Lepisosteus oculatus: one gene and its partners. The protein of the gene in region 4 purifies or fractionates together with the protein of the main gene of each other region. This does not show direct contact. Links are inferred from orthologs where the notes say so. Each region holds a gene or a part of one and is shown on either strand. Other genes may lie near its edges.

Region 1 (7,076 bases), on a different chromosome or scaffold from region 4:
GCTCAAAATCAAGTACTCATTAAAGCAGAGGAGAACTGAAAGAAACTAATGCACAATTTGACCTCAGTCTACTTGTGGGTCTATTTCTGCAAGAATTCAAAAAAGAAATCAAAACCTATGAAAATATAAATGGCCTCTTATTTAGGTAGGTTAAAAATTGCGATGATAAACTCCCCAAGTAACAATTTAGATTCCAAGAAACCCCAGACGGCATTAATGATCCTCCATACAGGACCTGTCGTTTAAATGGATAAACGTTATAAACTGACAATGCATCAAATTCCGGGAAAGAGTATATTATAGGAGCACAATGTAGTCCACAAACAATAGAAAATTTGAATAACATGACTTTAATCTGCTTAAAGACCAACAGAAATAGAAATGATTCATGCCAGCCTTCAACAGTTTTAAATGAGGCAGAAATTAAATGTGTTTAAACGAAAAACTAAGTCAAAACAACTCTGGTTTGTCTGCACTTCAACTGTTTAATACACGTCAGTCTTCTGTACCTATACTAGGAGCTCTCAACAGGCTGCCAATCACAGCTGCCCACACAGGAGGAGATCAGATTGTGTGGAACATCTCCATACAGAACTGTCAATTCTACAAGGGCTGAACTCCCAAACACCTGGTCACTGTTTTTTACACCAGTAAAAAAAAAATATATATAACAATATTTTACCAGACGAAATCAGTGGAGAATTTTAGTACCAAACGACAAGAGTCAGTCACCCACAAGGACAAGGACTGAGAAACCCTGACCTACAGAACAGCTCTATTAAATTTTCACTTCTGGTTTTCAGCAAGTTGAGACACTAAGCTGATGTCCACTTCGAACCTTATAGAGTGCCGTATTGAAGCTTTGGAATAATATCTGGGTTTTTGACAAGTCCACTTAGACAATGACTGAGCAGCCTAACGTATTAGTGAAAGGTTTTTCCCCCCTATTTACTGTATTAATTCACTTCACAGGATTGTTTTCCTCACCACCTCATAGCCCTAGATTGTTATGTCCCTTTGGAGCAAACAAATGTAGATCCTTAAGATCTATTCCACTGCAAGATTCGCCCAGCTCTTTAATCATCTCAGCAGCTGACGGCTAATTCAACTCTTCGGTATCTCAGGCCTGCGATGAAACCGAGCGAGGGTCCTGTACTGTATTATCCTTGCTCCAGGCCACGCTGGTCACCGGAAAGAAGTCCCAGGGGTCATCACCATCTGGACGAGAGCACCTACTCTAGGGAGAAAACAGATGGAACCCATCTGTCATGCCTGCACCACGGTGCAGACTGGGAAATCCCAAGGAAAGACCTGACTCCGCTGGGCTGACGGCTGAGACGACAGACACACACCGAGGCGACATCAAATGCCCATGACCGGTCAGAAAAGGAGAAGCTCACTCCAACCCTAACTTCGCTGTGTCATCATCCCATAAGTTTCAACAGCTTGATGCAAAGAACTGTGGCTCAAGACCATTTTGACTAGCGGCGTGAGGATGATAAACTAGCAGGTTATAACTAGGTACTGCACAACCACTGCAGGCACAACGGCAACTCCCAGCATCCCACAGCTGGAAGCTCTCCTTATCCCACACTGCTGGCCTGCGGTACACCCCAGCTCCCACCCTCCTCGTCAAACCTCTCCCTGAACTGCCAGACCAGATCCCATTCCCATGGCCTCTTCTTCGGGGGAAGAAGCGGCACAACTAATTTAAGCTTAGCAGGCTCCCTAAATTAACACAGCCCAGCAGTGCACCATAACCACCTGATCAGACTTATCATATGCCCCCAAATAAAGGTGCGATTTCACCCTCAGAATAACCACTCCAAACTCGACTGCCACCGCTATCAAGAGAGACGCACTTCCACAATCAGTACATAATCCACCCTCATCGAGCTTTTCTATTACCAGTACAACAAGATGCTACCAAATCCATATAAAATATTTAGCTTGTTAATGCTTCCAGCTTAGAAGTTATTTTGCTGACAGGGAATGGATCTCCTGGGAGTCGACTATGACTAAGACTAAACCAACAACAGAGTGAGGACATCTCTCAGCATTCCTGCAACTTGTATATCTGGTTCTGCAGCGCAGAGATCACTACACGAGCCCTCACAGAGGAGGAGGAGGAGGCGGCGGCAGCCAGGAAGGCGTGAGGCTCTTGAATAGGCATCATTGTTTTCAACTTGCCTTTAACTCCAGCTGGTTATCGCCGTTGACGACAAGAGTGAAATCAACACCAAAATGTCGCTTTCGCGGGGCATAGTTTATTCAGAAGAAGAAGAAGAAAAGAGCTCAAGTAGTGTGGATCTCACGAAGTCACATTTTTTAAAGAGGGTGGCACTAGAACTCAAAATCCGTCGATCTTGAGTGCCACTGCTATGAGGGGCTCGGCGTCTCACACGGGGGGGTATGAACTGGTTAAACGCAGAGCAACATCCGCAGTTTAGAAGGCATGTTAAGCTCTGCCCCGGCGGAGTGGGAAGGTGAGATGTGCAATTCGCCATCGCCATTCGGTTCAGGCGGCCATGGCAGTGCGGTAGTGCCCTCCCCGCCGTACCCCGGCCATGCACACACTGCCCCGCACCCCGCAACTGCAAGGGCACCGCGCTTCAGAGCACGGCCGCGGGGAGCAAAACACGGGTCGTCAGCGCCTACAAGCCCTCCCTCCCAGCACAGCCCCGAGACCTAGCGCCTTTTTTTTTTGTTTACCACCCTGCTAATGCACACAGCGCCGCCTTTCCCTTACACCACTTCCCACGGCCCCCAAGGGCGCCCAAGAAGCTCGGTTTGTGCTGCCATTTCCGCGCCCTGACGCGCTTCAGAAACGCTACAGCTGCCCCCCTCGCCCGGGGAGACCTTCCCCCGCCGCCCGGAACCGGCCGTTTATCCATTTACCTGGAAATCACGATCCTCGTTGAAACGAGAGAACCTGTCAGCCATTTTCCTGCTGCAGCTCCCGTCGTCTCGTTTTCTGCCCGACCTGGCCCTGCGGCTTCGGAAACGCCTACCGCCATGTGACGAGCGCCGGCGAGCACCAATCGCGGCGCCCCCTGCCCTCTGATTGACGCGCCCTTCGACCAATCCAAGCAGTGCATCTTTTTTTTTCATTCCGCCGTAGGAGCCTTGCCGAAACACCAAACATTGACAAGATTGTGTCCAATTGAAGAAAGTAATTCTCCTGATGAACAGAACCTTTAACCAATAAAAGCTGGCGAAGAGATGCCTTTTTTTCCTCTCGAACTACAGATTGAATGTATTATGTGTGAGAATTGAGTTACTGTGCCAGGGAATAAAGTGTGCTAGTGTCCTTAGCTGAATAGCGCACTGTGTACTACCAAACCTATCGACAAGGCGTACGGCTGTTACCTTGTAGTATGAGTTTATCAAGCCTAATCTGAATTTATTTATTGCATAGTGGATTTCAACTGCAGAACGGTCAACTGCAGAGAGATCATTCTTAAAAATGGCAATGGTATATTCATGGTTGTAACAGTTTCCTTCCTACACTTGCATTTTTTAAAAGGACCCATATTTTACAGACGGCTTTAGTTTAGTATTGAAAAAATATACGGGAAAGAAAAATAAAACGTTTTCTTCAGGCTCAGGTCGAATGTAGATCATTTCGTCTTCCCTGTCGTTTATGGTCTTTAACCAAGCACAAAATAACGGATGACTAATAATAATAATTTAGACGAGTGTCTCGCAAGAGACAAAAAAGCTTTTATACACACAGCATTTTCCTATACTTTTCCAACCTGTCTATTTAAGTGACTCATCTCTTTGAGACAGAAATGTTGCTTTCTGTTAACAATAAGGCGTAATTATATATTACCACCGGCTTTCTTTTACATAATGTATTGCTGTGGAATTATCTTTCCTTTTATCTCCATTTAAACCAGTCCTATCCGTATTATTATATACACTACTGTGGAAAAGGCTTGGACACAATCAGGTGTTACAGTATATGAAGGTGATGTGCATCAGCAAGTTACTCAAAACCTCCACTGGTATTTGGTACAATGATAAAAATTTAGTTATTAATACAGCTTAGATTGAGTGAGAGAAAAAACAAGCTTGTCATGTAGTCATTGGTCATTCACATGAATGAAAAACACTTCAGAACATTTGTATCATCATACTCAAACTAAACCAATCATGAGCAGCATATAAGAACATTTAAAAAGACCACAAACACGAAGTGGACCATCTAATCCCCATGGATGGTAGAGGCAAATCCATAGATATCATTCAGACATTTCTTGAAAAAATAAATGGTATCGGCTTCAACAAAATGGCTAAGTAGCTTATTGCTGACAGCCAGAACTCTGTGTAAAACGTGCCCTCTGTTCCCAGTTTTAAATGTACCTTCTTGCAAATTACACTTGTGTGCTGGGGTTCGTGTCTCGGTGTTGATTCTGAAGAGTTTACAATGCCAACGTCTCTGAGGCATTTGAATACTTGAATTATATATAAAATATGTGAAGTGTTTACCCATTTACGTTTACCAGTCAAATAAATTCTGGCCGGGTGTGGCTTGTTATTCACATAGTGTGTTCCTCTCTACACATCCATCGTGCTCAAAGGCAACATTTCGCTCTACAGCACTGAGATCTGATAGGACTTAAAGCCAAGTGGCTACAATTCCGAAGGCAGAGAATAACCGGTGTTGTGCTTCAGCGGAAAGAAAGGAAAACCCTGAGTGGTAAGAGCTGAACAATGGAAAGTGTCTAAGTCTGCCGCACAGCTGAGTCTGTCAGACCGTTCCTAGTGCTACACCGAGTCGGCAGTGAACCAGGACCAGTATGGACCCAGAAACAACAGGGCTGTGTCCCTTGTTCCCTGTAGAACACTGCCCACTACAAAACATCAGCTCACAAACAGCTTTCGTTCTGCTCTTTTACTTGCTTGCTTTGTATTGTGCATCACTGATGCCACTTGATCTTGCGCTGCATTTATACTGCACTTCACTGACGTAGTATGCTGTCCACCGTGCTGGATATGAACTGTTATAAGGAAGAGTGCCTTTTTTTAAACCAAAACCGTTAGTAACTGAGGAGCCACTGGAAGAGTAATGTTGTGCAATGCTCATTTACTATCGCAAAGGTTTTATTTTGACGTGTCACCGTGAGCAGAGACGGGCAGTCTCCCCTGAAAAGAGAGAAAAATAACGATCAATTAGGAAAGTCAGACTTGAAATCGGATCGTAGGTCGAGGTGCGCCCCCTGCTGACCATTCTGTGAACGGCCTTCACGGAAGAACCCCACGGCCTACTACGCGTTCGTTATCCCGAACCGCAGGTAGGATTGGTCTGGTCAGGGCATTGATCGCATGTTCATTCCAAGCATGTCCCAACATTCCCAGCTGAGCCAGGCTTGTTACTAGGTGACGACGATAGGTATTGATGTGGCAAGCAGACATTCAAAAACCTCCTTGGCCTTCTAATGTTAACCCCTTATTATGACTTTATAGACTAGCATACCCCCTTACAGGCAACTTCCAAAACCGAACAGCTAGCTGGGTCTTTTACCAGAAAGACAGTACAAAGTTTTTTAGTCACTTCTTTACCACCCTCATTTGTTTTTGTTAATATTAACCAAATACAACAATAATAATAATAATAATAATAATAATAATAATAATAATAATTGCTTGCACTTATACATCAATTTAATCAATTTCCCTTTGGGATCAATTAAGTCTTATCTATCCACATGAGGGGGCGGGGCAGAGGCACTGTGGTTAAGGCTCTGCACCTGTGGCTGGAAGGTTCCCGGTTCGTATCCTGTGGCTGGCAGAGGAGTCCTACTCCGTTGGGCCCCTGAGCAAAGCCCTTAACCCCACCTGCTCCAGGGGCGCTGAACAATGGCTGACCCTGTGCTCTGACCCCCAGCTTCTCTCCCTGCCTGTGTGTCTCATGGAGAGCAGGCTGGGGTCTGCGAAAAGACAAATTCCTAATGCAAGAAATTGTATCTGGCCAATAAAGTTTTCTTATCACATATAGTCCTTTTTCTGGACACTCCACTCAAAGCGCTTTACAGGTAATGGGGATCCCCTCCACACCCACTAGTGTGCAGTCCCACCTCGATGATGCAACTGTAGCCATAGTGCACCAGAACACTCCCCACACACCAGCTACCAGTGGGGTGGAGAAAAGAGAGATGAAGCCAGTTCATAGATGGGGATTATTAGGAGGCCATGATTGGTAAAGGCCAGGGGGAAATTTGACCAGGACACCAGGGTAACACCCCTATTCTTTTTGAGAAATGCCCTGGAATTTTTAATTACCAGAGGGAGTCAGGACCACGGTTTTACATCTCATTCCAAAGGATGGCGCCTTTTTTTAGAGATTGAAGATTGAATCTTCTTCTGATACAAGATTGAAGAATTCCATCATCTTATTCTGCACTGCTCTTTGGAACAGAAGCTTTGTCTTGCAGAATTGTTTACACTGGTGCAATACACTGGCTTGGGGTTATACTACAGCCTGTTGAAATAAGAAATGACGCAAAATACTCTGTACGGGGCACAGAGTGTAGCCAATATTACTGAGGAGATTCAATTACACTGTCCTGGAGAGAGGGACAATGAAAATTATTAAAGCCGCAAAAGAACAAATAAACATGTTCTTGATAAAAACGTTCATTTTAACCTAAAGTTCCCTCTTAATTCAATTGCCGAAGCAGATTTTCAGCACGCCCTAGCCGATCTGCTGCGCAGTTGGGCTGCAGGTGCAGACTGCTGCGAGTTACGTCAGAGCTCTGCGCCGCTCTGGGATGACGAGCGCTGCAGGAATATAAACTTTCCAGCAGAGGGCAGTCTAACCCCGAATTGGGAAGACGCTGAACTATTCTCCCTTTCCTTCTCATACCTTGTGTATCTCAAAATGTGTTTTGTCCAGAATATACAGGTACATCATTAAGAGCTGATTAAATTTAAAACTGAGGGTGACATATACGCACACAAAATTAAACTTCTCCGCGGGCAAATTGTTAACCAGTGAATTTGGGCCGTTGATTCTAGCGAGGGTGCAGGACAATGTGTGCGTGAGGGAGTATATCAGCTACTTCAGTTTC
Region 2 (7,992 bases), on a different chromosome or scaffold from region 4:
CAATTGTGAGCTCAGCAATAAACCGCAGATCTGTTCTAAGCTTGCTTACATTTGGTGTTTTTTCTTCCTTTCTTGCCTCAAAATGCTTTTTCCAGGCTTGGAGTAGTAATGGGGCAAAGTCAGCATATCGCTGATGGAAGAGAGAACACAAATGCACAGCACAGTTAACATCAGATATCTTCAGCTTGGCCTCCACAATGGAGCCCACGGCTTCGGCAATGTATTTACTCAGATTGAGGCTATTGAAATCATTCGAGAGAGAATCTCTCTGCTGCTCCGTGATCGTTTTCAGCTTCTTCACAAAGGCGGTGTTCTTCTTGAGACTGGAATCAAGCCTGCTAAAGAACGTCTCCTCTGGTCTGCCCTCCTGGGCATTCTGGTTTTTACTTCGCAGGTCTTTCCTTGCTTGGTGCCGTTCCCACGCTTCCTGGTGAAGCTGATGCGCTTCCTCTTTTTCTCTGAAAGAAAATCACCAGAAAATACATCTCTGTAGACGCAATAACATTTTTGCATACTTTGGACCACTAATCTCTGGTAGTGAATCAGGTAGAATGATTCACACAAGAAGCATACTTTGACCACAGATTTAAATTTTAGCCCTCAACAGTAAATGGGGAAGAAAAACTAAAAGCTGCAATATGGCCATTTCACTGACAAGCATTTTAAATAATTTGTCATTAGCTGTTTTCATTAGCCCTAGTGTAGAGGACAACACTGCGTGTGGTGTTTGCAAATAACTGGGGACTTATAATGAAACAAATCTTCAAATGGAGATAAAAACACTACTTCAGCAACAGAATGTGCAATACAAAGAAAACAGGCGGCTGGATTTGAAGCTGGCGTCTTACTTCAACCGAGCTGCCTCTTCTTCCCGCTGCCTCTTCTCCTCTTCCTCCTGCATCCTCTTCTCCTCTTCCTCCTGCTGTTTTTTCTCCTCCTCCTCCCTCTTGCGCTGCTCCTCTTCAGCTTTCAGCTTCTCCTCCTCTTTCTTCTTGCGCTCCTTCTCCTCCTTCTTGCGCTTCTCCTCTTCCAGCCTTCTCTTCTTCTCCTCTACAGTTTTGGCATTCTCTTTCTTACCACTGACCTTGGGGTCTTCCTTTCCCTTCTCCCTGGATGAGGCGGGGCGCCTGTCGCCACTCTCTTTCTCTTTGTTGCTGAAAGAACACACCTCTTTTTCATCCATACTGACTTCTTACGCTGCGCAGGCAATACTGTAAAACACAATTGGCTTCTTCATTAACAAAACTGCAAACTCATTTCTGCTATTCTCTTGAAAATGCACCCATCCATCAATTTTCGAACTGCTTCATCCAGCTCAGGGATGCAGAGCAGCCGTAGTCTATCCCTACGAGCAATGGTACTTGGCAGGTGACACCCTGGACAAACCGCCTGTCCATCACAGGACACCCACAGGCACAGACACACACCCACTCGAACCAGGGCCAATCTTCCCAGAGGCAAATTAACTTACCGGCATGTCTTTGGAGTGAGGGAGGAACCCCATACGAACACTGGGATAACATGCAAACTCCACACAGACAGAACCCCAGGTCCAGAAATGAACCCAGGGCCCCAGTGCTGCGAGGCAACAATGCTAACGACTGCTCCACCATGCTGCCCTCTCTTGAAAATCTATCAATTAACACAACGCCAAAACATACAACCCCAGTCTCTTCTCCAATAAGAAGAGATATTACATTCTGTAATTCTCCAATTACAGAAGGTTTTAAATTGTAAAAATAACAGTCTTCAAAAGGTAAGCGTTTGGTAGAAACATTAAAAGGTTCCATATTAATTTACATAATTATTAATAATGGTTGAGGTATTTGACTATAAACTAATAATGGTGAAATACACCCAAGTTTTATTCAAAGTAATTCTTTAACAACAATCCCCACAAAGTCAAGTATAAAGCCTTAAGTTGACACATACATAACTAAAGTATTCTTTACAAAAAGAGGCATAAAATTGATCTAATTAAAATAATTAATCGTGCTACAAGTACTCTTATGAAAGTCATATATACTGACTAAAGACAACATCTTCGTTTGACGTCCACGTTTCAATCTGCCACGATCTATAACTAAGATACAACTTCCATGGTAACATTTTCACCCCAAAACAAAACCTTTTAAAAGCTGAAATTCTCCCAACTATCACTTAGCAGAAAGACTGAACGACGTTCCCTTAAAAAGAAACGTCTTACCAGATCTGATAGGAGCTTAGATTCTGTTTTCCTCAGCGTAACGCCATCCTTGATCCATCAAGGCTCTGGAAACGAAGCCGCGGTTAGTTAATCACACTTGGGGAATGAAAGAAAGACAAACTTATGACTGTCGCCGGACAGTGTGCTGTAAAACTAATCCACCCCCGTCCAGAAAGCCGACCGTTAGCGGACTGACAGTTGAGCTGTTTCGCGAGAGGCGGAATGGTGGAACTGTCGGGCACTGGGCAGTTAGCAGATACAGAGCCGAGTGCGATAGGTGAAGGGGTAAGATTTCAGCCATGTAACAGGTTAATCACCCCGCATCTAACTCTGCGCATGAGGAAAGGTGCACTTGAAAAGATAAAAGATGTGAAAATACCTGGCGACACGGGACAAATAACGTTAATGTGGTAACTCGACTAATGTGCGACGTTCCAAACCCCAATTATATCTGTAACGCTATCCCACCGGAAACGTTTTAGGCCCAGAAAAATACAGACAAAAATGGAAAAAGAACATACACTACAGCAAAAGCAACTGTCAGAAAGCAATTGTTTTAAGAAAAATAAACAGGTGTAGTAGGCCTAATAAAAAAACACTTAAACGCTCTTTTCGGGTTTTACTGAAATGCGTGACTACTGACAGCAACATTCCAATTAATTCATAAACAAACCCTCACACAGGAGGAAAAAAACTAAGATTCTACAGAAAAATTAAAACACGATTACCTTCAATTCATGTAAGCATTAGGTTTGTTTGTAGTTAAAAAAACCTTCAGTACAGACGAAGGACCTCGTCAGCAGGTATTACGTGTAGCGCCTGAACTAAATAAAATAGCAGTAGATTGTCACGACGTAGAAGGCACCACTGCTTTGTGTACAATTGTAAATTGGATTTTAGATTTTAAAATGTTGAGTTTATTTCTATTTTTGGATAATAACTTTATTTAATGTGGATTCAAATTCGAAATGGCAATCCGAGGACACCTCTGGCACTATTAAGCCCATACGTCACAACCGGCAGTGATGGGATGAACTGAGAGCTAACACACGGGCATGGATATTTTAGTGGCATGTATTTCATGTTCATGGATGTTATGAAACAACGAGATCATACTTAAGCATGCAATTAAAAAAATTAAGCACATGTTTTGTTTTTCCCCCTAAACTGGTGTTCGATTACTTTGCTACGACTCAGAAAAGTAAACATTTTTATTTGCGCTGTAGAAAGACAAATAGCTTATTTATCCTGAACCTGTAAGAGTTCCCAGTTAAAATACAAACATACCACAGCTGCACTTCTACAACAACAATAATAATATTTGTATATGATATAAATGTAACAATGGATGCTCATAGTCCCTGTTGCAGTTAATGTAATGATACGATTGAGTTCCATCGAAACAGTTAAACTAACCGTGAGGTCTTTACGTGGAGCTATGTATCTAACCATTTTATCCCCACTTTAAGATGCTTGGTTTTTAATGTTTTGCTTCCCACAGACACGTACATTTCATTTACTTATATAAAACGCTCGAGTTACTGTTGCATGAAAGCGAACAGGTGAACATGCGCTTTGCTTGTCTCGCTGTTTTCCGTGAAACTAAATCCCACGCTGTTCAGCCAATCGGAGCTGGAGGTGTTGCTAAACCCCCTGTTCTGGAGAAAGTATGGCCGACTAATTGTACAGTGTGCAAGCTGAAAAAGTATTTGTTTTAAAATAAGATAAGCGAGTAAAACATGTCAGCATTTATTTTAGTTAGACCTTTCCATTTAGCAACAAGAACTTATCTGAATTCTGCCCGGCCACTTCTACGTAATTTATATCACACAGAGAGAGGCGTCTACGGATACAAACCAAAGAGGACTGACACAGACCCTAAATTGATCAAGAACGAACATATCTCTGCACATGATCAAGGTCAGTAGGATTATGCCTTTAAGGCATTTAATGTATCTGATTGTATTTAGATTGTATGTGTCACAGGCAACGGACACATTTCGTGTGGGTGTTAAATTATTTACATTACATAAAGCTTATTACAATAATCGAAACATTCATACATTTCATTGCAATCAAACAAGTGAAATGCCACGCACACAGTTTGGAGCTGGTTGTTTGGGTCATTTTACGGTTTGTCTATAAACCTGAATGTTTTTTTTTTGCTTATGAGCGGTTTATAGAGCTAGAATCAAATATGGGCCTGATCACTCCCCTGAATAAACAGTGTCAAATTGTACGTCTACAGTTCAAGGGGCGTCGTATCCCCTGCTCCCGGACGACTCGGTTGTCTGTAAGTTTACTTCAATTGACTTTTAAGAACATTAGAAAGATTACACACGAAAGGAGGCCGTTCGGCCGAACTGGGCCGTTTGCGAGAACCTGTGAAACCGGTCCACTTACATCACTAACCAGCTGGTTCTGCTTGTTAAACGTTGCGGTAAAATGAAAACGCACAGACACACCGACCCTCCAGGATTATGTTTGGACTCATCGGAATTATTCACGCATTTAAATAATTTATTTAAATATTTTTTTATTTATTTAAAATAAGGTAAAGTGTTGTAGCACAGCAGGGAAGTGGTCACAACATAAAGTGAACTGGTATCCTTCACCTGGATCGCCCCTTCCACATTATTAATGTCCGCTATCTTCAGTTTATCTTCAGATGCAGTGTTTAACCAAGGCCATTCAATGATCCCAAACAATATTTGAGAGGTCCAGGTGTCCCAACTTAATTTGCACTCTGGGCTTTTGTAAGCTAGTCTCCCTAATATTCACCCTGAATTAATCTGGTGAGGTGATTTGTAACCACTGTAGGTGATGTATTGTGTAGTAGGTTAGGACTAAAGTTACTCAAGTAGGTAGCTGTGTCTGCATGTGTAGGTTGCAAATGAACAAGTAAAGGTTAATTCTGAAATGGGAAGAAAAGAAACACAGTGTTTCGGCTGTGGAGCCTTCTTCGGGTATTTCTTTTCTTCTCTTTTCCACATGGAATTAACCTTGCTTGTTCCTTAGGACCATAGTTACACATGTAGGTGTTGCAAGGTAAGAATCATTACTGTAAAGCAGTAATCTTTTGGTTAAGTAAGGAGTGATTATGAGAGTTAAGTGCTTTTCTGAGCTACAGTCAACATCTTTTTCCTGTGCTTGTCTTTGTAGATCATGGGTTGGCACGGCTGGTCGAGGCATACCGAACTCATGGGCATAAGGCAGCAAAGATTAACCCCTTATTCACTGGGCAGGCAGTGATGGACATGGTGCCTGAAATCAGTTACTTAACTGAGGTGCTTCATGGGCCTTTCAATACAAGCAGTAAGTGATTTTTGTTTTACTTCTTATTTTAAAGAGAAATCTGACTGCATGTAGCTTTTTCCCCCCACTAAAGTTTGTTTCAGGGTACGTCCTTCTTAATGCTTCTCACAAATTTGAGCTTCTGATTTTTTGCTACACTGAAAGTCAAAAGTCTTCCACTTGAATGCAAAAATGTTCAAGGCCTTTTTGTTTAAACATTATCTTGTTCACATCTCAGTGTGACTGCAGTAGGACCATTTCTACGAAACGGTATCTAAGTATTTCACTAGCTCAACACCACGGAATCACCGTCTATATTTCTTTAACTGTCTGACTTATTGTTTTCAATAAAGCCTTAACTCACTTTGGGAAAGGAGAGGCCTCACTGGAAAATGTCTTGGCATACCTGGACCATACCTACTGTGGCCACATCAGTATCGAGACCAGCCAGCTGCAAAGCCTGGAGGAGAGAGAGTGGTTTGCCAGCAGGTTTGAGGAACTAAAGAAGGAAACTTTCTCCCCTGAAGAGAGGAGACAACTGGCCAAGCTCATGCTGGAATCTCAGGTAAGACAGAGGAGTCCCGCTGCAAATACATCCATCCATTTTCTGACTGCTTTATCCAATTCAGAGTTGCGGGAGAGCTGGAGCCTGTTTTGGCGAACAGGGGGCGCAAGGCAGGAGACACCCTGAACTAGATGCCAGTCCATGACTGGGCACACACACAGAGACACAAACACGCATGCACTCACACCAGGAAGCCAATGAACCTGTCAGTATGTCTTTGGACTGTGGGAGTATCCTGAATCAGCCGGAGGAAACCTTCATAAACACGGGGAGAACTCCGCACAGAAAGTATCCCAGGTCCAGAACTGAATCCAGGGTCCCAGCGCGACAAAGCAGCAATGCCAGCCACTGTGCCACCCTACTGTGAATACAGTATTGCTTCATTTTCAAAGGGCTGTTGGCGCTGATGATTCCTAAGATAAAAGCCTTGCGTTGCTCACAGGAGTCATCCTTGGAGGTTTCTGCACTCCAGCTCCAGAAGGTGTTATATAAAGTTGATGAGGTAGATTTTGGTGACCGGACTTACAGGATAGTCTGGATTGGATCCTTTTTATGTTACCTTACTGGAAAACTCTTCCCCACTGTCATTTACGATGATTTGCATTTGCAGAATGAGGTATCCGTTTTGCCTTGCAGGAATTTGACCACTTCTTGGCCACTAAGTTTGCAACAGTAAAGAGGTATGGGGGGGAAGGAGCAGAGAGCATGATGGGATTCTTCCATGAGCTGTTCCGCAGCGTGTCGTACAGTGGAGTGACGGACGTGATCATGGGCATGCCTCATCGCGGGAGACTCAACCTGCTCACTGGGCTCCTGCAGTTTCCACCGGAGGTCTGGATTCTTAACTACCAGATATTTTTCACAATGCAGAAAACACTCCTTAATCACTCCGTGCTGAGGCTGTCTTTCATGTCTTCAGTCTAATGTTTATAAGTTCATTTTTTTATCATTGTTTTTCTGAAGAAAGGTTTTACTGAAGCACAGCAGTTACTTTTCTGAGAATTATTATTTATATTACTAGATAAGCAACACTGTAGATATTTTTCTTTCTTTTGGTGGCTTTGAAGACCGTCGAAAATTGTTGGCATAATTTATCCCCTTCCCCTCTTTTTCCAGCTTATGTTTCGTAAGATGAGGGGTCTCAGCGAGTTTCCCGAGAACTCCCCATCCATTGGAGACGTGTTGTCCCACCTAACCTCCTCCGTAGATCTGGATTTTGGTTCAGGACACCCTCTCCATGTCACTATGCTGCCCAACCCCTCGCACCTGGAGGCTATCAACCCTGTCACAGTGGGCAAGACCAGAGGAAGACAGCAGTCCAAGAAGGATGGGGACTACTCTCCAGACAGCAGCGGTCAGCCTGGGGACAAAGTCATCTGTCTGCAGGTAAGATGGCCACTGGTGCTGACCCCATTGTCTTGGAGAACCATTCACCAAGAGCCATGGTTACATCATTTACATCTTCTGGACCACGTGGTGAAGCAATATAAAAGCTAAACAAAATGCTAAGACTTGATGGTGAAGAACAAAATTTAGATGAATGGCTGTCATGTTAATTTTGTTGAATACAGTGGTAAAACCAAATTTCAATTATTGTGTGCATTACTGTAAGCCACAGTACAAAAATGACAGTGCTCTAGAAGCAGTCCAGAGAAGACCCCATACATTGACAGGCTTAAAGAGCCTGTCAGCACTCACGGGCTAAAATTGATTAACCTTTTTAGTCTTGAATAGAGAAAGCTATGAGCGGGTCTGATCCAAGTATTCAGAATCCTCAAAGGCCTTAACAAGGTTAAACGTTTTCAGATTTAACAGTGGAACATGAACCAAGGTCAAAAGTGGAAGCTAGATGGAAGTGTGTTTAAAACCGAGAACAGGCACATCTTTACATAAAGGGTTATGGGACATACCCAGCCCTCCAGTAGCT
Region 3 (7,606 bases), on a different chromosome or scaffold from region 4:
GATCATTTGAATTGCTCACACAGGTAGACCACTGGGTTGCTTTCTTTCTGTACAGCACAGTACAAACTTACACGTGCGGGCAGACTTAAGAACGTCAAAGAGTAACACTGAAAGGGAAAGATAACATGCCTTTCTCATTAACCAAACTTGTAACTGTATGATGTTCCTAGTGCACACACACCTGGCATCTTTTACTGAGTCCAATTTCTGCCTTACAATCTCAGTGATTTCTCCCATTAGAGGGCTAGAGTTCAGGTGCTGGTCATTTAAGCAATTTGCAAACTTGGACAGCGGGGCCATTGGTAACCTGTAAAGAAACAAGCAAATTTTTATTGTGAGAGATCCCATTTTAAGATTCTGTTTGGAATTTAATATATTTTGTTGTTAGATTTCAGAAAACAATACTTTCAAGAAGGAAGAAGCAAAGCACACTTGGTGTGCTGGTTCAATTGAGAACTCTAAGCAATAGTACAGTAACTTGAACTGAAGCAGAAATATTAGTGTTGCTATATTGCTTAACAGACCTCATCCATCGTCAATACTCACCTGTCTATTCTGCGCCATCCTTCTGTAACAAGTTCCTGGACCAGAGAGTCATGTGGTTCCACACTCAGCCTTCAGGTAAAGCAATTAAACAATGTGATGTAGTACTGCAGTGATGTTGTACAGATACTGAGTACTTCATGGTGACACACAAAATTGGACATAAAACAGGAAAGTCAATTACGAATTACCATGTTGTGAACAGGTGTTAATCTCAGAGCAGACAAAATGAATTACATCACATTATTCTGAGCTCATTTCCACATCCCAGTCTTTCTTAAATTGCGCTTAGGGATGATTATTACCATTAGTAATCTGGACAATAAAAAGAGATAACTTATACTATCTGCCTTGTGCTTTCTCTTTCGAGATTATTTTGTAAATGTTAATATGGAAAGAAAAAGCAGTGGTATCGATTGGAGGGAGTTAGCTGTCAATAGCAGATACCGTCATAAAGATTAAGAGCAACCCATAACCGAGATTGGCTCGGGCCAGTTTAATATACTTGCTCTTTATCTACGTGAAGCAGAGGACACAAATTAAAACTACATTGAAGTGCTTTTAACTCTGAGAACAGGAGGCTCCTCTCTACACAGAGGGCGGTGTGTGTCTGGATCATGTTGTCAAGGCCAATATTCTGGTTTATTCCAGGAAATAATTAATAATAATAATAATTATTATTATTATTATTATTATTGTTATTATAAATAATAACAGTTCCTTCTTCTTTAGAAGAGTCTTTACTTAACTGGTTCCATTCTTTACCCCTCTGCTCCTATTGTATTTAGAACCACTATTGTATTCTCACCGTGTTGACCTAGTGTATTTTTTATTGTTTATTTTTAATTGTTGTTGTTGCTGCTGTCATTCTGTAAAGCACTTTAAGAAGCCACCTTTAGGGGCCCTATAGAAAATAAAGTGTATTATTGTTGTTATTATTATTAAATAACTGATGGAGATCAATGAGCTAACAAAAACCAAATGAGCTAGATGGAGTTAATGTTCCTTACTGGGCACACAGCTGGCCGAAGCCAAAAGCAATGACAGCTACACTGACGATCTTCGTTGTCAGAAACTCGCTCAGGAAAGTAAGGCGAAGCTGCTTTGTGCTCTCCCTTGAACAGCGTTCGGTTTGTTCCCCACCCGCAGAGCCTGGCGTCTCACCTGAGCACGTTGTACAGCATGTCCACGAGCTCGCTGTCCGGCAGCTGCTCCACCTTGTTTTCCGCCAGCACGCACAGGGCGAGGAACTGCGGGTGAGTCCTGGTAAACTCCAGGGTGCGCAGCATCTGGGGCTTCTCCTTCTGGAACTGCCAGAGCCGGCTCACGGCCAGGCCCACGTGCGCCGCCGACAGCTTGGCTTTGTTCCTGCCCACGACGTCCAGCACCTGCTCCTCGCTCCCGCTGGCGAAGAGCTGCTCCAGCACCTGATCGCTGCCTGCCACCCGGGGGTGCAGGAGCCTCCAGGAGGAGCGACACACACTCCGCAGCCGCAACATGGCCCCGGCCCCTGTCCCCCCCCCCCGCTAGCGCGTGCCGAAGGAACAGACCGCCGTGCAGGTGCTCATCTCAGGCTGGTGAGCTTCACAGCCAAGTCTGTGCCCTGCTTCACGGATCCAAAGACCTCAGAAAACAGCCTAAACCATTCTGGCCCAGCAGATTCTGGAACACGAGACAAAAGGGAAACAAAAACAGTTACAATTACATACCTGTCGTGGCAAGGAAGCATTCATACAACGTCCAAAGGCGAGGAAGTCTTTTCTCCGTTAGCAATAAAGAGCAAACACACTGCAAACCTTGAGAGAATAACAACTGTAGGGTATTTGCATATAGTTTATCAGATGTTGAGGTTAAAATAATCTTGAATGAAACTTAATTAGGATTTAATCACACAATTCATTGGCCCAAAGTCTAAGAAAGACCACTACAGGCCCAACTATTGACGATCTTTCAGGCAAATGTCGGATGAGATCTTTTTGGTTGAATAAGCTGCAAGCAAACGAATGAGCGAAAGACCTCCCACCTGTCTTGTTCTCACGTACTGTAAGTATTCATAGTCCTTAAAGTTACTGTCAGCTCTGTTACCGCCTGTCTCAATAACGAAAGAGAGACTCAGGCACTCAAGTAAAGATCAGGAGAACATGCAGTTAATTAACAGAAAATAGGAAGCACTTTTTTAGATAAGAGAACTTTTCGGTCCAAAACAAATTACACAGCCATGCTGTCAGAGCTATAACCAGTAGGAAAGAGCAGTAAAGTATTTCGAGAATGATTACACTGTAGCAATTTAAAAAAGCAAGGAGAGTCAAACTCCTCTCAGTTGTAACCTTTCCTGTACTGTGCACCAAGGCAAGGCAGAGATCACTGTCTGCATATGATCTCTAAGAGTACTGCACACAGCTCACCAGGGGAACTGGGGGAAACTGGTCGACCTTCACCTGCAGGTGGGTTACACTATATGGGACTTAAAACAGTAAACTGGCAATTAAAGACCGTGATGAAACACAAGGTAAAACATTAAAATATCACCACCGCAAGTAAAATTAACGACCATAACAGGTCGCTTTTTAAAAAATAAAAATAAGACTTTTAATCTAATGATTTCAGTTTTGGGCTAAAGGTAAACTGTTCTCAACTTCACAAGCAGAGAGCAGTCGTGCTATTCCACGTTCTGTTACTAGTAAATAATTTTCTTGTAGCTGCTGTTCAGCTGAAAGTTTGAAAAAACGAAGCAGAAATACAGCAATCCTCGTTGATTTGTAATCTACAGGTTAGTTTATTATTTATTAATTCGGTTTATTTCAAGAGCTGGTCCAAGACACACTACCCTCTTACTGTACTGTGGGCTTATTCGCCTTGTTATGGTCAATGGACTTTTTTGTATCTCAAAAAATACTTACCGAAACATAAAAAACAGGTTAAACATCCCGACAGCGAGCAAATTATATTTACCTTTACGTAAACCAGTTTACGGGTAGATCACTTGCCTGTGTGCAGGGTTTCGCATACAGATAGCTACACTACAGCAGATGCTAACGTGCTTGAGACGCACGTGTAAAGAGTCAGGTTAACATTCTTGTGCCAGACATCTTTCACGGCACTGTGGTCAATTACAGATTTCAAAAAGATAACGTCGTGTTTAAATTACCTGGATTTTATCTGCAAATAAAATGCAATTCAACAAATTCCTATTTCTCGAATGTCACCCTTATTTAACTGCAGAAAGTACCATCTTCCTGCCACAAAATGGCCCGTCATGTAACATTGTTTCAGGGACTATCGCTATTTTAAAACATCATAAAAAAGTTGTACCCCTCAATGTAATTGATAACAAAGGTTAACAGAATTCGAGACGCAGAAAACATGTTATGAGGAATTGTGCAAAGCAAGCATTCCCCTTAGTCGTATTTTATTAATACTATATAAGGAAACAACAAACGTTGAACATTCTAGATGACCCCTTTTTCTTTACAGTAACCTTTCGAATATACACGCCTATAAAAGCATCCATTTAAAAAATATTGTGGCCATCAACCCAAATTATACGGTACCTATATTATATAAAAAGTTAGAAAAATGTTTTATTTAAAAGTGAATTGTTTTGCCTCGGGGATGTTTGGGTTTTAATATCATACAAATATTTGTCATTTTTATTTAAACTTAGATGGACAACTTTCAATTTGCACTTTTAAAGAACGTTATTGTAAAGTATTATAACGAAAAATGCCGGAATACTGTTTTTACAGGTGAGCAATGAAAAGGATAAGCTAGTAAACAGCTGACCTTTTGTGACAGTTTTCTCATTTTTTGATTCAGACTTATTCTCTACAGTTAATTTTGCACAAGTTTTAATTCCTTATTATTCTCTATTCCTCTAAACCTGTCTTAAAAAGTGTTGTAGGGCAGGTTCTTCTGTAAAATATGCGTTTTGACCTGTAAATATCTCAAGGAAGCAGGCAGGGGGTTGGTGATGTACAAAACCGCGCATCTATGACCCCGCTCAGCCGCGCTGACTGGCGGATATTTACCCGAAATGCATTGACGTTTCTCTTAGCGCCATCTTTAGAAATTAGTGAAGGAGAAAAACTGAATAAGGCTCGTCTTCCTTCTGGGTTGGGGAGCAGCCGAAGGGTGCCGGCAGTTACAGAATTTACTGAGGTAAACGCTTATTGAACCGCGTACTACCAGGAGACAGCTTTCGTGTAAAGAGTCCGAGTATGTGCGAGCAGGGGGCAGGGGGAGAATATTTTTGTTGTTGCGGTGGTGGTTCGTCCCTGCGGTGAAGTTGAATTAACTGCTGTGTGCACCCAGGCGCAGGCCTTAATCCGGGGACTCGAGTAGTCGCGGCCGCCGCAAACGCTCAATGAGCCGTGGACGGCGGGGCTGGAGAGGTCGCGCGTCCCGTCCGCCCGGAGGGGGGCGGCAGCCCCCCGTGGAAACTGACGGAGGTTTTGCCCGGCCACAGCGCGGCTCTCCGTTTTTTTTTCCGGGACGAGGCCTGCATCAGTCAGAGCCGGGGCGGGAGTAACGCCGGGCGCTGGTTTGTTTGAATGAGTGCGGGGCTGCCGGGCTCCATTTCTCCTGCCGCCTCGGGCAGCGAGCAATGAGCGGCTCCAACTTCTCCAGACGTAACACACACGCATCGCCGTTTGAAACTTTTTACTTTTAAAATAACACCTTGACCCTATCGCATTACCGGTTTCTACATAAATACATGATTGTGCGGTACGTGGGTACTGTTTAATTCGGAGGGAAATGGCTAACGTGTTTATTTTGAAGTTGTCCCATATCTCATATCACGTCGTCGCCAGGTACGGAGGGTGACCCCTCTCCTTCCCGAGTTGAGGGGGTCAACATTTTCGCTCGGTAATTCATCACTTACAGTTTCTACCCTGCAGCGTGAACGTTGCAACTGAATTGCCTGCGTTTTGCATTTTTGCGCTTGCTTATTCCCAGACGTTTAATTGCCGTTTCTAATTAATGTAATTGTTAATTAGGTAGTAAAGTGTGGTACTTTGCTTTGCATCGCTTGCAAAGTTATTATTTTTGTTCACAGATCACTTTAAAACGCAAGACACCTTGAATGATGGTCCTGCGTAAATTAAAATTGTCCCCTAGATAAACCAATGTCGAGCAAGCTCTTTTCTGTCATTTTTAGATAACCCACTGCTCTTTTTGGTTAAAGGCATTTTAGAGTCGCGTTTTCAGGCTGTTGTAACATTTCTTTCTTTGTAGAACTGTGTTTTTAAGCATTTGTTCTCACCCCTGTCCTGGTGTTGATTTTAGCTGAGCAAATTTAGTTGAGTCCTTTACAGGTAGCTGCAGCAGCATGCGTGGGCTGCAAAGGAACAAGTAAAAGTTTATTCCATGCTGAAAAAAGAAGGTAAACGCAACGTTTCGGCTGAGCACACCCGAAGAGGCTCCACAGCCGAAACGTTGTGATTCCTTTCTTCTCTTTTCAGCATGAAATAAACCTTTACTTGTTCCTAAGAAGATGCTCGATTGGCACCTTGGGAAATTAACAAGTAATAGTATAATTACTTTATTACTTTAGTAATAGGTTTATTACCAAACACAACGTTTCGGCCGTGGAGCCTTCTTCAGGTGTGAGCAGGGGGCTTCAGGTTGCTCACACCTGAAGAAGGCTCCACGGCCGAAACGTGTTTTCTTTCTTCTCTTTTCAGCATGGAATAAACCTATTACTTGTTCCTTTGCAGCCTACGCATGCTGACGCAGCCACCCACCTGAATTACTACAACCTTTGGAAATTAAGTTTGTTTTTTGTACTCGCACATCGGTGTTTTGAAGTTACTTATGAAATGTGATCTTTGAAAGACATCCTCCAACATGTTCAGGAACTGAAAAGAAATGGATTTCAAATGAATCCTCTTGTTATTCCAATTAAGGGTTCCACCTGTAAAGGAAAGCTCAGCAGGGACAGAAACCAACTCTCTTATTGATGCCCAGTACCACATTTGGAAAGCCTTGCTGTAAGGAAAGGCAGACTTTTATCAAAATGACTGGTTGTGGTTGTGGAAGAGCATTTCAGATATACCTGCATCTTATTTCTTGCCATTTTGATTTCCTAAAAACAAATTTTGCTAAAAATCTCAAAACAGTAGTGGCTTACATGTTTAAAATAATTCCCGTGTTTTGCTTTGTTTCCATTCCACATTGTTCTTTACTGTTCCTGCTCAGTTTCTTCTGCAATACTAACTTGACCTGGCAGCATACATAGCTTTTTAAAATGTGTGATAATGGCTACTGAATGGAACATATGAAATCTTCACATTCAGCTTTATAAACTTTTTCCAGAGGGTATTTTTGGAGAAATGGTTCAACATGAATGGTAAGTGCAGTATCGTGAAGAATATTTATTTGCATATGTGCTGTGCGTTCATGGGGAAACAAGACTTGCGCTTGCCAGTGAAAATTGGAGATTATTACGGTTCTTGCAGTAGGTAGTGAATGAAGAATGGTTCCACTTCTCAGTCGCCCCTCTTGTTTTATTTTGTACCGCCGATGGAGATTTATGTTAATAGGAGTAACATGGGCAGTGCATTTACCCATTGTGTGTTAAACAGGATGTGCAAAGCTTGCGCACAACTGCAAATGGACCGTCCTGGTTATATTTTAATGAAATTGAGAGAGACTGTATAGATAGATACTTTATTGATCTGTGAGGGAAATTGCACTGCAACGGCAGCTTAACACAGACAACACAGCCACAGTGTAACAAATGATACAATAATAATACAATACATACAATACAATCAGTACAGTGAGAAGTGCACTAAGAAGAGTTACTCGCAGTCCAGAACACACAGAACAAACCAGAACAGAACAGTACACCAAAAAGTCGTATTGCACAATATAAATATAAATGTATTGCACAGGTCCCTGGCATATAGTGCACAAAAACGGTTGTAAACGGGAAAAAGAACAACAGATGCATCAGTTTACCGTTCAGTCCAGAAACAGGTCACTGTCAATGTTGCCTCTGCCCAGACGCAAGGTGGATGCGTTGTACAGTCTTATGGCAGAAGGCAAGAATGACCTCCTG
Region 4 (7,800 bases):
CTGCCCGTGGAGGCGCTGCGGCGCTTGCGGGCCTTCTCCCTGCCGCGGTCCTTGTCCGCCGCCTCCTTCGCTCCCACCTTCTCCTTGCCTCGGTCTTTGGCCTTGTCCTCGGAGCGGTCCTTCCTCTTCGTGGGTGACGGTGCCCTGTCAGGGAAGGGGGGGGGGGGAGCGTGATCAATATCCTTCAAGGGACGACCCGAGGGAGGAAGCCAGAACAAGCCGCCAGGCCGGGCAGATCCTCTCGGTAGTACACAGCTACCGCAATGAAAGCAGCACAATGATCACTATTCCCATCCTATTTTTTAACATTCGTGTTCTGCGTTCACAGAACCACTCTCACGGGCTCGCCGAGTTCAGAGGTGATCCAAATGATCCCTGTCCTGCACAGAGCTGCAAACCTATAGCCTCTTATGACATAACTCTTTCAGACTGCTGAAGATGAGGTCTCACCTGCATAAACTAGTAAAGAAATTAGTGTTTTCCCATGAGGTCTCTCAAATGACTTCTCATTTCTCTGCAATGGCTGTAAAAAATGGGAAGATGTCTGTGGCTTCATATCTCATGCTATTTCATGATTTAAAATGTTGGCTCTTCTGAGAAAATAATCCTGTTCTAGATACCTTACTGAATAACCAGATGATCATAATTATTTAAAAAAACTGTAATGCAGTTTCAAACATTCAGTCATCTGGAGGCAGCCAGATGCTACCTCTAAAAACCTTTTCCATCATGAAGAAATGTCTGTATAAATGACTAATTTAGACAGTATTATTTTACATGGCACAAAGTGTGAATATTTACTGTGTAAAAGGTCAGTGGTGTTTCGCACTCAAACTGTTCACACCCTGTGTTAACTGGAAATCTTCACCGCCAGTTAGAATAAATGACTTTTCAATAAACAGAGAAGAGAAACCACTGTCAAGTTTAACAATATTACATTTCACCATCTCACACTGGGAGAGGGAGAAAGACTTGAGGGGGAGCGTTTCGAACTGGACTGTAAGGGAAGGAGGGTAAAGTTCCTGTACTGTGTTCCTAGCAGAGCATCAGTGTGCACTGTCACCTTTCAGGAACAAGTGCTCTGTCTGTAAGAGGCGTCTGCCCCAAGGATCAAGTTATCAGGCAGTGAAGAAGCTCTTCAAGCCCTGAACTTCGGAAGGCCCAAGAAACAACACAATAGGGAGCCACTGACATCTTACGTGATCCTGTATGAACACAAGAGAGCACCAGCAAGTCCAACACTCTATGAATACTTTCAGGGACATGCTTAAAAGCTTAAAGCAGGAAATAGTAGCTTAATATGCTGAACTTCAATCCCATTATTTGAATAACCTTGCAAATAAACCAAACACCTACTCATACTACCCCCACCCCCCAAAAAATGGCTTTTTGTTAGTGTACAGTACGATCATTTCAGCTTTTCACACCTTGGCCTTTGTGTGGACACTCTCTCATTCCCACCTACTCAGTCCTCTGTTCTCCTGTGCCTTATATTCCAGTTAACTTCCTCTCTCACAACTGAAAATGGCTCAACAGCCAAAACATTGGTTCTTATTTCTACTTTTCAGCATGGAATAAACCGTTACTTGCTCCTTTTTTTTAGCCAAGACATGCACACTTAAACCAGCATGCTTCTCATCGAGCTAGGCCTGTCCTGCAACCCTCAGTAACTGAGCCCAATCTGGAAAAGGCTCAACTGGGCAAAACACACAAACAAACCTCCTTTTAAGTGGCAGCCCCACTAGTTCCAAAGACCATTCCAAGAGGGCTTAAATGTTTAATGTGGCAAGTTTGCAAATGCTAAAATCCAATGTTAAAAACCGAGCTAGAAAGGCGACACTAACTGGAGGAATATTTCAAAACATGTTCCAATACATAATGTTAAAAGCTTAAATGCTAAAAAGAATACATGCAAACAAAAACGTTAAAATGGATGGCAACACTATCGATATATAATTAAAATATGTGTACAACTATACACGGTATTGCTGTTTGGTCAGCACCTACGCATTAACCCATTTAAGGTAAGCACCGTACAGTGTCTTAACAGTTTCATATTCTTAAGTACAATTTAACAGACTGCGAGTGGCTTTAGAGAATGCTGCTCAGGGAAAATCTGTGCAAAACTCTGTTTAGGGACAATTTTCCAAGAGGCACTGAAAAACTAATTCTAAGCTCTCCATGCGCAAATTTCTAGGATAACCATTTGAATGTAGCGAGTTAAACCACGGTGTGTTTTTTACATTAAGCGAAATCCACTATATATATCTTAAATGATTATTAGCCCATATTGCGTAAATGGAAAACTTACTTAAATACGCACGATTTGGGGAGGGGGGTTATTATCTCAATTACCTTTATAGAGTTTATGTATTTGTTGATCCTTGAGCACATTAAGCCACATGGAGAGAATTCTGCATTACGTGAACTGTAAAGTAGAAATTTTGTGAGGTTTAGCTGAGGTTTGTGTACACGAACTACACAAACCTCACTGTGTACGTTAAATAAAGCCGTCGACAGTACAGAGACGTGTTAGGCTTTGTGTTCGTAAAGCTTTTAGAAACTGCCCTACATTTTCATAGACGAAGTTACAATTAACGTTTTATGTTCCTAGTTTCAGTGCATTTGTGGAAACAATCCAAACCCCCCGTTGTACTCGGCAAACGAACCCACTCGTCCGCCATTGATGTTTTCATTCATCTGTTCAAAGCTCTGCTTTCAAGCAACACCCCCCCCGCTCCAAAATCAAGCACAATCCCAACACCGCGACAGGAAATATCACTTCGAGATGCATTGCTTTCGACTAAATAATTTATAAAAACAAGATTCAGTGTCCTAAAACCGCTATAACATCGAGGATTGCATTAGATGGTTTCTAAAAAAAAAAACACACACAAACTTACATCTCCGCTCAGAAAGTCTCCCTCCGCGGCGGGCGCAGATTGATGACGCAGAAGCGGCCAAACTCGTCAGACTGTATCGCCGTGGTCTGTGCCGAGAACGTAACTGAATTTCCTCCTCAAACACAGTAACACAGGCAGCCCAAGGAGGTGTTAATAAGCGGCTGGGCACAGGGGGAGTAAATTGTAGGAGCTGTTATTTGTTTGGAGAAAAAGATGGCATGTTAAGTTTCAGCCCCATCCAAAACAATTCTAAAATACCGTTTGTAATAAATTTAATTATAATGGCACGTTATATACACAAAATGAAGTGGTCTGGGAAGAATCATATGTTTAAAGCATTTTAAAATGGATGTAAAGGAATATCTACAGACTATTTAAAAATGTAAAAATATGAAAGCAGTGGGGACGTTATCTTTGTTTAAACTTTTTTTCATAATTTGAATTTATTTTGTAATATATACCCCCTGACGATGTTTTTTTTGTCTTGAAATGTTATATGCACTCTTGCTTGTATTTGTATTTTTGTTATAGTTTATGCATAAATAAATAAAAATTATTTAAAAAACTTATAAACGTCCTGTATTACAAGACCATTGTACTGTTTTATGCAAAGTAAATTCGGAAACGTTAAAAAACCTGGAAATTGTTTTTTAAGGGGTACTATGTACTAAGTTGAACAACATTTGAAACTTTTGTTTCATTCATTGCAGACCCAGGGAATATTTGAAAATGTTTATTTTCACCTAAAATAATTGAACATATATACATTATATGTTTAAAAAACGTCATGCTTCAAGTGCAGACAAAAGCTAACAGTAAATTGTTTTCTTTGGTCAGTTAACTACGACACTGGGGTAAAAACGCAATCAGATTTACCCCTTCTAAACATTTCATAGATTGTAAATGACGCGCTTTTCAATTGTCTTAGCAGTCAAACCGAAACCGACGAGTTTGCACAACATCCACAGCAATCGGAATAAGTACCATTCAATACACATACGAAACACTTTTATACATATCTACATGCCTATAGACAACGATGTCTGTTAAAGGTGGATTCTGTTGTCAAACATTATACTTATTATAAGAGCTCTGCTCTAACTCGTTTGTGGTTATTATAATGCTAAGAGAATTTATGAAGACGTAAAAATGATTCAGAGATTAGAAGGTTGCCTTCTATTCAATTTAAACAAAATGTCTTTCTGTAATCCTATCTGTTCGAAACTTTCAAGAACTTCGACCATCTCCAGTACATGAAGATTGTCATCTAGCTTTGTCACTGGTTACCTAGAAAATGATATGATTGGCTGCTCAGATCCTTGTCTGACCAATTAGAATTGAATAGACGCCTCCTCTTTTTGACCAATAGAAACAGCTCTTTAGTATATAGATAGATAATACTTTATTTATCCCATAGAGAAACGGAGATAAACAACTGATCAATAGGAAACACAGGTACTCATATCCCCCCACCACAGCTGAGCTTTGTCCAATAGAAACTCCTCACCTCTTCAGCTAATTAGCAGATCTGGCAAAAATAAACTGGCATAACCTCATATTAAGCCACTCAGGACTGATTCAGAGCCTCAAAATCTAGGCTGTTATTGCAAGTGGTGCGTAGGGTGGGAGAGACCTGTAGGTGGTTCACTTCCATTTTACCCTTCACTGTAAGAGGTTCAATCATTTTAATGAGATGCTTGAGAGGTCCAAAAAGATTAAAGTGTAGGGGTGTTAACGCTGGAGTCCTGGCTAAATTCCAGCCCAGACTTACTGTACACACTGGGCTTATTTCACAGTCATTTAATTTCTCACTTCTGTACCTGGTAGAGGGTCTGTTGGTGCTAAGTGCTTGGTATGTCTCACTTTGTACTGCTGCATTTCCATGGCAGATGAAGTCAATTCCACCCATATTGTAATGTACTTCAGCTTGAAAAGTGCTTACACACAAGGACTTTGTCCATTTCCTTGTTGCCTTCTAGTTTAAACAAAACCAGTTCCATACTTTCAGGAACTTTAAACATACTCCTCCATATACAACTAGATGAAGAAAAGTGGTATCTACATTAAGGGACTTGGTCTTGTTCTCCATTTTGTTGTGCAGTAGTGAAATGACTAGCAGGCCAACCTTCCAGCCATGAAGATGAGACCATTAGGTCCTGACATGGTAAGCTACAGCTCTGCCCTCTAACCCCGTCTCTATAAAATGTCTATATATGCGCAACACTAGTGCAGGCTTTGTGAAACCCCTGCATTACATGTCAACCCCCCCCTCCACAGAGCTGTATGTGAAGTACTCATGCAAAATAAGTAAGGAAGAACAGTAGTTCTACCATGTTCCAGATACCAATTATACCTAATGTGTTACATAAACAGATGTACTCCATCTTCTGCTGTTGCATAGGTTAAATAACCTTAGCCTTGTATTACAAATGTGACAACTGGAGAGCTGTAGCTTCTTGGTTAGTGAAAGGTGTGATCTGTTCCCATTAAGACAGGGGCAGTAAGTGTCCCCCACCCTCCCCTCATTATACATGTTAAGATACAGTTTATTTGCAGTCAGCATTGTTGCTGGAAAAAAAAAAAAGCTACCCTTGAAGGCAGATACTGTCCCCCTACAAGTCTTCAGGAGGATAAAATATTGGGGGATTAACCCAAGGCACGTCACCTCAGAGTTAATGGGCAATAATAAAGACTTCCCAGTGACACCTTAGCTTTATTGCATAGACATGATACAATTCTCAAGATCAGGGCCAAGGACATGACAGAAGGTCAGAGGATCAACATACAAACCAGATCTTTGTTCCACATTACAGACGCAGTGTTGAGGGTGTCCCATTCCTCTGGAAGAGCTTCACTTTCCCCATCTCCATTCTCACATGATCCACAGAGCTCTATTCCCAGTAGGAGGGAAGGAAAGGTTACATGACCAAGTCCTGACACTTTATTAGACAGCATGTCATGTTAACCAAATAACCATTCAATACCAACAACATTCCTACTTGGACCACTCACACTTTGGAATCCCAAGCTTGGAGAATGAGCTCCTCAACCTTACCCAGATCATGAAACACCATGGGAAGACTTCCACACCATCCCATAGACTTGTCCAGTGGAGACCCTGCCAAGAGGAAGCTCACTTTAGTACAAAAGGGAAGGGGTGTTAGACTGAGGCTTTTATTCAGTGTACTTTCAATTTTAAAGCTAAGCACAGCAGCACCCTGCCTGGGATTTCTGCGTCGGGTCTCTGCTGAACAATAAACTAGGTTCCCACTTCCCAAAGAACAGAGCGCTCCCTGCTGTATAACTTTAAGAGCCTACAAACCTAGTCCCCTGGAATGGGGTTCTTGTGGAAACTTACTTTGCCAAGACATACAGTTTAAGTGGCCATTTAAGATGGATCAATTCAAGGTATTGTATGCCTCCATTTTGCAGGCAGGTCAATAGTTATGCATTTAAAACCTTCTGCACCAACTCTGGAGGCAATGAGCAGCTAGTTAACACTTCTAAAGCTCATTTTCACATGTAGTACTATGAACATCTACCAACTAGGAATTCCGCAAGTGTAATTTACTCCCAGTATAGCTTACCCATGAGCTGGTACACATCAGCATATTTAGCCATCCCTACATGACAGCATAACTTACCACAACTCCAAACCCCAGCACAACTTGTCAAGTCTCACAGATCAGCCTGCTTCAGGAACAGTGTTTTGGCTGAATTCTCCTAGTCATGGATATCTTATTCTTCTTACCATAGAAACTCTAAAGCCACAAGAATATTAGTATAGCATACAAAAAAAAAAAAGTATCTTCATGTTCTTCTACAACTCAAAACACAAACTAAATGCTGTTCTCCCAGGCTTCACTTTTATGAGCCTCTTCAGTAAGTAAAGGGGCGTGGCTAATTCCATAGGAACCAATCGCAAAAGCCCTACAATCCTCATGTGGAATGCCTAGGTGTGTCCAGCTCAATAGTGCACACCTGCTTCCAGATCCCTGTCTGCTCAGAAGCCATCTTGGCTCAGAGACACACCACAGCCTGGGCTTGAGCCAAAATGTAAGATTCTTACTGAACCCTTCTAGGGACACTACAGCATTGCTTTAATACATTTCCATTGAAGACTATTAGAGGTGTGTTCTTTCTAAACATTTTAGCATAGCCCAATCTACTTAAAAAATGGATTAAGAGAGAAAGATAATGATTTGATTATAGTTCTTTTTATATATGCCTTTATACGTATACACATTTGTGATTTTAACTCTTGAATCACTTCAGCTCCCAATATTATTTCTCTTCCTATGTCGGAACACTGCTATTATTGGAATCTTGTTCTCAGTTGATATATCATAAAGGAGAGCTGTAGAACCATAATAAAAACATGTTTTGCTAGTAGAGTCCTCTGTATTTAAAGAATAATGATGATTGATGAGAGTTTTGTAATTTCAAGTATTCAAGGAGATTGAAGCATCACTTTGAGACAGAATCTGCCTTCCAATATGTTGATTCCCTGTGTTGGTTGATGATTGTGTAGCTGTTTTTTTCCAGTTAAACTTCTTCCTTTCGTTATCACTAAGAATTAGTCTCGTGGTTTGGTAAGTAGGGATTCAAATAAACAATCAGGGTGACATTTTTAAATCATCAGTAGAATCTGAAATAACATTTTATTTGTTTCTGTTTAAAAACTATGGCATCATCATTGTCTTCTCCTGGCCTCCCCTTCTTAGGCACAGCCCAATATTAATTACTACTCTTACTGCTTCTGCCATGTTGAACAATCCAGGGATGGGAAATTGACCACGAATGTCTCATTCTAAAATGGTCACATGTCTCCTCTCAGAAGGGCCACTCAAAGGAGACGTCTTGTTAGTGTAATCCCTGCCAAAGGAGCATTTACAAT

The links.
Region 1: the proteins of RNA-binding protein with serine-rich domain 1 (region 4) and gpatch8 purify together in Homo sapiens (co-immunoprecipitation; 4 studies listed by BioGRID and IntAct, with this or other methods). This does not show direct contact. The link is inferred for Lepisosteus oculatus from reciprocal best matches to the Homo sapiens genes RNPS1 and GPATCH8.
Region 2: the proteins of RNA-binding protein with serine-rich domain 1 (region 4) and upf2 purify together in Homo sapiens (co-immunoprecipitation; 5 studies listed by BioGRID and IntAct, with this or other methods). This does not show direct contact. The link is inferred for Lepisosteus oculatus from reciprocal best matches to the Homo sapiens genes RNPS1 and UPF2.
Region 3: the proteins of RNA-binding protein with serine-rich domain 1 (region 4) and ppig purify together in Homo sapiens (co-immunoprecipitation; 3 studies listed by BioGRID and IntAct, with this or other methods). This does not show direct contact. The link is inferred for Lepisosteus oculatus from reciprocal best matches to the Homo sapiens genes RNPS1 and PPIG.

The regions. Positions count from the first base shown.
Region 1 is NC_090723.1:3,728,199-3,735,274, reverse strand, and holds the start of gpatch8 (G patch domain-containing protein 8), read right to left. Parts: upstream 3,008-7,076; 5' UTR 2,944-3,007; coding exon 2,899-2,943; intron 1-2,898.
Region 2 is NC_090702.1:41,845,793-41,853,784, reverse strand, and holds the start of upf2 (regulator of nonsense transcripts 2), read right to left. Parts: upstream 3,018-7,992; 5' UTR 2,935-3,017; intron 2,272-2,934; 5' UTR 2,207-2,271; intron 1,212-2,206; 5' UTR 1,184-1,211; coding exon 849-1,183; intron 459-848; coding exon 1-458. Other genes in the region: dhtkd1 (2-oxoadipate dehydrogenase complex component E1), read left to right, coding at 3,946-4,126, 5,369-5,521, 5,854-6,065, 6,702-6,896, 7,182-7,451. UniProt on the Homo sapiens protein: Involved in nonsense-mediated decay (NMD) of mRNAs containing premature stop codons by associating with the nuclear exon junction complex (EJC).
Region 3 is NC_090707.1:15,861,115-15,868,720, forward strand, and holds the start of ppig (peptidyl-prolyl cis-trans isomerase G), read left to right. Parts: upstream 1-4,589; 5' UTR 4,590-4,701; intron 4,702-7,606. Other genes in the region: fastkd1 (FAST kinase domain-containing protein 1, mitochondrial), read right to left, coding at 182-307, 547-615, 1,708-2,042. UniProt on the Homo sapiens protein: PPIase that catalyzes the cis-trans isomerization of proline imidic peptide bonds in oligopeptides and may therefore assist protein folding. May be implicated in the folding, transport, and assembly of proteins.
Region 4 is NC_090714.1:5,331,745-5,339,544, reverse strand, and holds the start of RNA-binding protein with serine-rich domain 1, read right to left. Parts: upstream 3,014-7,800; 5' UTR 2,906-3,013; coding exon 2,904-2,905; intron 145-2,903; coding exon 1-144. UniProt on the Homo sapiens protein: Part of pre- and post-splicing multiprotein mRNP complexes. Auxiliary component of the splicing-dependent multiprotein exon junction complex (EJC) deposited at splice junction on mRNAs.